Kluyveromyces lactis: one gene and its partners. The protein of the gene in region 1 binds, or shares a complex with, the protein of each later gene. Links are inferred from orthologs where the notes say so. Each region holds a gene or a part of one and is shown in the gene's direction. Other genes may lie near its edges. The genes, in order: LSM2, LSM8 and LSM7.

Region 1 (1,709 bases):
CTAGTAATGCTGATTCTTGCCAAATAATTATACCACAATCACAAGTTGGAAGAAAGAACGACATTTATATTGCTACTGTCTCTGACGCCCATAAAGTTACTTCGAAGGGTCATTACCTCGCCAGTGTATCAACCATCATTGAAACTGATAAACCTCATATCGAATTAGAGCCGGCTTTCAAAATGTTGGGCCCAATTGAGGAGAGGTTCATGGGTATTTCAGAAATCTTTGAACCGATCGAAGATGGCACTAAAGACAACATTTACATCTCTAAATCTTACGATTCCTCATCTCACTTCGAATCCATGACCGACGATGTCAAGGATATCTACTTTAGGATTACTGGTCACCCCCTTGTTTTAAAGAAGAGAGAAGATGTTGCAGAGGAGTAAGTGAGAACTACGAGATAACCGTGATGCTAACTTTTGAAAATATCGTACCTTCACGTACTTCTACGTACTTTTACGTTACTTTCTTGTTTCGTTACAATCTTTATCATTATCATTTTATTTTTGTCTATTTACTATCTAGCCCCACATATTAGCTTGAATGTTTTGGCAATAGTTTTATTTCAGCAATCGACGTAAAAATATCCCAGCTAGTCCTCTTAAGTCCAGCAGCTTCTCTACTTCTACATATGAAGTTGTGTATGTCAATTTTGTACATGTATCTTTTTTTTTTCCTTCAACATGAAATTGTTTAAAACAATTTCATGTTGAAATTTGACAATACAACTACAACACATTCAAAAGTCAAATGCATGGACCTCTGAACCAAGGCCGTACTGTCCAGAACCATGCTATTATTTTCATTTTTCAAGACCCTGGTTGATCATGAAGTCAAAGTCGAACTAAAGAACGGTATTGAACTAACAGGTACTCTAAAATCAGTCGACCAATTTTTGAACTTAAAATTAGACAACATTTCGTCCAACAATAATGAAAAATATCCACATCTATCAAGCGTGAGGAACATGTTCATCAGAGGTTCTACTGTGAGGTATGTACATTTGAAGAAATCTATGGTGGATACCAACCTACTTCAAGATGCAACCAGAAGAGAATTAATGAGTGAAAGAAAGTAAACGAAAGAAGCAGCGAAAAACAGGGTTCCTGCTGCAGAAAGGAATAATTTATAACTGTTAAATATCATTCGAGTCTACCACTCTCACACTATTCACATATGTAATAATAGAACACATTACCTATCATGGTGGAACTCCCAAGAGTTTCTTCTCACATTTTGATCGGAGGTGTCCAGTTTCATTGCAATAAGAACATTTAATGTTGTTAGCTTTAGACTTTCGTTTTCCAAATTTGGCTTGTTTAGGAGTTCTTTGTACTGGAATTAGAGCATATTCTTGACCGTCTTTCTGAATAATCTCAATTTGTTTCGAAATCATTTTTGAGAACTTCTCTTTATCCAGTTCAACGGATGTAATCATCGAGATGAGCTCATCAACGTTCTTCAGTTTGTTCTCGTATTCCTCTTTTAAAGACGGGAGAGTCGACTGCTTTTTTTGGGACTGAGATAACACTAGTTTGGCTAGTTGATCAAGCGCCTCAGACTGTTTAATAATCTTGTCTGCATCCGCCATGATAGAGCTTGTGGTCACTGGGGTTATCCGATACCACACTTCCTACTCTGGTGGTCCTGAATTTGATCCTATCTCTCTATCGTTCTTTTTTCACTTAGATTCCATAGTGAAA
Region 2 (2,347 bases), on another chromosome or scaffold:
ATTGGACTGTGTGATCATCGAGGGATGGTTCCTTGGGTTCCAAGCCATTACAGAAACAGAATTGGAAAGGAAAAATTCGTCACCTATACTGTTGAACCACCAGTTGTTACATCTGAAACAAGTGAACCGTTCGTTGAAAGAGTACGGACAATTGCTATGGAATAATGAGTCATTGGATACTGTCGGTATCAAGTTCGCAACTGACGACACCAACAATGTATATAGGTGGAGGTTACAACAAGAGCATGCTATGCTAGCATCTCAGGGCGAAGGAATGACTGATGCGCAAGTGAAGGCGTTTGTTGATAGATATATGCCTTGTTATGAACTATATTATAAAAACTTCATTGACCCGAACACCGCGTTCGGCAAAACAAATCTTACCATTGCCATCGATGCCGACAGAAATGTGGTCAATCATTTCATTTCGCACTCTTGAACTTCTTCCCAGGGGATTAATACCCTGAGTCGTTGTGTCTGGTTTTGATTTAGGTGTTGAGATTCAGGCGTAGCGATAGATTCATGTCTCAATCTTTTCTCAAGCAACGCCTGCCTCTTGCTAGCTAACCTCATATCTTCATGCAACGTCTGGATGGCATCCGTGAGGTCTTGCATTTGTTGCACGACATTGAACATGACATTTTCATTCATGGTAAATCTGTCCATCCATTCTCGATGTCGTTTATCCATCTGCTTCGTAATATTATCCGCTAAAAGTTGCAAACTTTCACCGCTTGATGCCTTTAATTGATCCAAACGAGACTTTACTTCAGAGACAATCTCCGTTCCCGTTTCTTGATTACCATCTAAATACACACAGAAATAACGGCGACTTCTCGGAGTCTCATCCGTTATTTTCCTAGTTAGTAAAAACTGACCGTAGTGACTCTTACAAAGAATCATTCCTAAAGGGTATCAATCAACGACCAATCCACGTAGATAGAACTAAGTAAATGCCCTTATACTAAGTAGATATTCCTTTCATTGTGCATAGAAACCATACCTTTTCTACTGTCAAGTTCTGCTTGGAATAACTTTCGCGAATGGCTCAATTCATCCACGTTCTCCTTGATAATCTTGAATAGACTCTCAGACGTGTCCCGCAACTGCACAGTCTCCAACTCTAGACGACTAGTCCATTCTAAGATCTGTTTGTCGGCGTCTGGAATCTTTTTAAAGGGAGAAGACCCGTAATCGGTCTCACTTTCATTCTCTTCCGCCATTTCAACCGTGATTCGGAGCTTCTAACAATATTAGCCACAACACAACTCTAGATAACTGCTGTAGAAGCCTGTATACTTCTGTTATGATGTGTGATTCTTCTTTGTTGAAGATGTTGTTGTTATTGATAATAGAGAATCTTCAAATAGAAAACATTACTTTCAAATTATAATAGTAACGAAGAAAAGATAACGATCCATCGGAGCGAAGATATCCACATAACTGCCCCCTTGTTTGCTAGAACAGTGAATGGACAATGAGTGCTCTATTGAAAGATTATTTGGACAAGAAGGTGATGTTGGTCAATGTCGATGGAGACACATACTATGGTGAAATGAAAGGGTTTGATCATGCGGGAAACATGATTCTTTTAAAGGACAGCAAGATATGCATTATACGGAGTAGTGAAGTGGTATTATGTGGGCTGATAGATGATATACCAGAAGAAAAAGAACTGGCAAAACTTCAGAAGTTCCCAGCGTGTAAGAATAAGTTACCGTTTAAAGAAGAAATAGACATTTGGAGTGAGCGATGGGCTAACAGATGAAATATAAATAATGTTATACACAGCTGCTGGTCTCCCTTTCATTGACCGAGTTCTTTCATTTTGAGAGCTACTTCAAAGAGGTAATCGATGGACTCGATGTATATCTTGGCTTTCTTTGGCGTGGGGCCCCAAACGAAGAGTCCATGTCTTTTCACCAGTACCGCACATGCATTTGGATAATCCTTAATCATTTGCTTCAACGCTGGCATGAGATCCTGTTCTTCTGGAGCGTTATCGATGATTGGAATACGTAGGGTATCAACGTTCCTCAAATTGGTACCGTCACCTTTGGGTATCGCCTTGATTTGTTCAATGTCCTTGATGGTAAACTCCTTCTCATATATCATTGAACAAAGCACCGCATTGATAGAGTGCGTGTGTATGACGCACGAGGCACCCAGCGTCTTGAATAGCTCCAGGAATAACGGTGTGCACGCAGAGGGTTTCAATCCAGGCGCACCACATTGATAAGTATCGTCCTGTATATTGTATTTAACAATTTGTTCAGGTTCCAACAGTTCTTTCTCAATGCCACTTGGTGATATGTATGCGATGTTGTCCTGTTTAATGCCGATACCA
Region 3 (2,341 bases), on another chromosome or scaffold:
GTGAATATTCTTTGAAGCGCTTCAAGGGCTTAGTATGAAGTTGAGAACAGGAAATGAATTGCCATATTTGATCTTTTTGTAACCAGGTTCATATGAACAGAGACTTTGTGTTCTGAGGAAGATTCGAACCGAAGTCGCAACGTGGCCTTTTTACCAGCTACGGCACAACACCCGACTCAAACCAATTACGAATTCATTCAGTAGTAGACCCTGTCACGTGTGTGTCAGGTGTCATTTCCGTAGTTCAGAGTATCATCCACGAGGCCAAGGACGAGAATATAATTAAACTTATGTAAATTATCAACTCCCTATAACTCATCATCTGTGAGCATCAATTCATCGTCAGCTAATGGCGTGAATTGAGGACCTACTTCAACAACGGCAGGTCTCACAAACCCGCCGTAATTCTTTTTTACTGGTCCGAAATACTTCGTTCCTTGGAATGTACCATTGTTCTTACCGTCAGGTTCGTCAAATTCAATTCCACACCATACATCTGTATTACTGATCTCTTGAACTTTTCCCACGTATCGTAACCATCCTCTTCTTTCGGGGACCTTGGTGGAATCGGTCGTTGTTTCCTCGTTGGACAGTACTCTGCATCTTTCTCCAACGTGTTTTTGTAATAGTTCTGCCTTATCGATATTCAGTTGTAGTTGTTCTTCCATCTTAGAGCGGTATTCAGGATTAAATTTCCCTAACTTGTTATCTTTTTTCCATTGTAATACAGAATCCCTTCTGTTCTCATAATCGTCCATGGTGTATCGGAACGAAACGTCATCGCTATTAGCATGTAGCAAATCATTTTTCAATTGGCTTGCTAAACTGTTTTCGTTGGTGTCTATCACTTTTATGGACTGGATTTTCTCTACTTTCTGGTCTTTGAGATCTTTCAAATACTTGCTGTTCTGTGCATTGCCATTTATCACCAATTTCATGTCTTGAACATCAACACCGGTCAATTCGTTCAATCTTTGGCCCAGATGGTCCCATGATGTACCAGGTTTCACAAAGATCTGAGTGTTAACCAAATCGGATATAATTTCCACGTCAGATGACATTATCGGTGCTGATATATCCTCTGTTTTATTTTGTCTTCGATGCTGTAAGTTCAATGTTTGTCGTTTTGTCCAGGCATGTTTGAACATCGAATTTTTCAATGTTCCGTAAACTTAAATGAAAAGTTAATTTGAAACCAGTAACACACTTTGACAATAACCCATTGAGCAAACAGCGCTACCCCACCCAACCAACTACTAATAATGAGCGAAGCAGTATGTTAACTACTATAATTAGGACGGCTTTCTAAAACTTCTTCAACTTTCTCAAAACAATGATCCATTCTACATTTTAAGTTCAAATTTACTAACAGTTAGAGAGTTTATACATTCCCCTTCTCTGCAGAGGCAATCACAACAACCGAGACAAGAGCAGAAGAAGAAGTTCGAAGGCCCAAAGCGTGAGTCTATCATAAATCTTGCACAATATAAGGACACAGAAGTACGTGTCAAGTTCATAGGGGGAAGACTGGTCACTGGAATCCTAAAGGGTTATGACGAGCTAATGAACTTGGTTCTTGACGAAACCGTCGAATATGCAAGAGACCCAGAAGATGAAACCATCATCCACAAGGACCAAGCCAAAAAAATTGGTTTGGTCGTCATAAGAGGAACAGCTCTACTTTCGCTATGTTCCCTCGAAGGTGCTGAGATCATCAATACCTAGTTAAGACCCAAAAAAAAAAAATTTCAAGCAACAGTGTACCATATATGTTCATTAATAGTGCTATATAACGTTCAGTGCTATATCAAACTCACACTATGAGCCCATATCCACATTTCTACCTGTATCTAATGAAATAAGTATCTCCAACGGAGATACTTTCCTAACCGGCTACATCTCACTTATCAAGACCTAATCTGCACAAATGTGCGTTCACGTGACTTATTGAATCTTTTTTCTAACATCAGCAAAGCTTTTTGGTTAAATTTCGACCAAAAAACCGTATCTCATCGCATCGACTGATTAGAGAGATATCTTGAATTCTTTAAACCGACTGCGTCCAGGTGTTCATTTATATATATGTGAGTATATATCTCTTGTGAGAGTTGTTCTTTTAACGTTTCAAATTCTCTTTTCGCTTGTTGCTGCAAATCTGTTTGAATAATATTTTCTGTAGTATTCTTACTCTTTACTGAAGACCAATCAATTAGCGCATCAAAGCGAACTTCACTTAGGTTTATCTGCTGCTAAAAGAAAATAATATGAGTTCTACACAACCATTTCCTAATGTCCATCTATTGGCACAATCGAAGCAGTTGCTTGGCTTGTACACTATCAT

What was found.
Region 2: the proteins of LSM2 (region 1) and LSM8 are in contact, whole or in part, in a crystal structure (PDB 4M78), measured with the Saccharomyces cerevisiae proteins. The link is inferred for Kluyveromyces lactis from reciprocal best matches to the Saccharomyces cerevisiae genes LSM2 and LSM8. Residues at the interface, in NP_009527.1 of Saccharomyces cerevisiae: Phe4, Lys8, Val11, Leu19, Asn21, Ile23, Ile25, Ser31, Val32, Asp33, Phe35, Lys39, His53, Leu54, Gly55, Ser56, Val57, Arg58, Asn59, Ile60, Phe61, Ile62, Arg63, Thr66; in NP_012556.2 of Saccharomyces cerevisiae: Met1, Ser2, Ala3, Thr4, Leu5, Asp7, Tyr8, Ile16, Val18, Asp19, Gly20, Lys32, Asn33, Thr34, Arg44, Gly58, Ser59, Glu60, Ile61, Ala62, Leu63, Val64, Gly65, Leu66, Ile67.
Region 3: LSM2 (region 1) and LSM7 share a complex: the UniProt entries of both Saccharomyces cerevisiae proteins name them as parts of the spliceosome U4/U6-U5 tri-snRNP complex. The link is inferred for Kluyveromyces lactis from reciprocal best matches to the Saccharomyces cerevisiae genes LSM2 and LSM7.

The regions. Positions count from the first base shown.
Region 1 is NC_006042.1:855,260-856,968, forward strand, and holds LSM2 (Sm-like protein LSM2), read left to right. Parts: upstream 1-796; coding exon 797-1,084; downstream 1,085-1,709. Other genes in the region: GDI1 (Gdi1p), read left to right, coding at 1-392; KLLA0_F09229g (uncharacterized protein), read right to left, coding at 1,208-1,597. UniProt on the Saccharomyces cerevisiae protein: Component of LSm protein complexes, which are involved in RNA processing and may function in a chaperone-like manner. Component of the cytoplasmic LSM1-LSM7 complex which is involved in mRNA degradation by activating the decapping step.
Region 2 is NC_006041.1:1,467,179-1,469,525, reverse strand, and holds LSM8 (U4/U6-U5 snRNP complex subunit LSM8), read left to right. Parts: upstream 1-1,477; coding exon 1,478-1,768; downstream 1,769-2,347. Other genes in the region: TDA10 (putative ATP-dependent kinase), read left to right, coding at 1-439; methylthioribulose 1-phosphate dehydratase MDE1, read right to left, coding at 1,807-2,347. UniProt on the Saccharomyces cerevisiae protein: Component of the nuclear LSM2-LSM8 complex, which is involved in spliceosome assembly. The LSM2-LSM8 complex plays a role in the biogenesis of the spliceosomal U4/U6-U5 tri-snRNP complex by accelerating PRP24-mediated annealing of U4/U6 di-snRNA.
Region 3 is NC_006041.1:2,037,019-2,039,359, forward strand, and holds LSM7 (Sm-like protein LSM7), read left to right. Parts: upstream 1-1,262; coding exon 1,263-1,274; intron 1,275-1,404; coding exon 1,405-1,725; downstream 1,726-2,341. Other genes in the region: ALF1 (Alf1p), read right to left, coding at 309-1,061; FUR1 (uracil phosphoribosyltransferase), read left to right, coding at 2,265-2,341. UniProt on the Saccharomyces cerevisiae protein: Component of LSm protein complexes, which are involved in RNA processing and may function in a chaperone-like manner. Component of the cytoplasmic LSM1-LSM7 complex which is involved in mRNA degradation by activating the decapping step.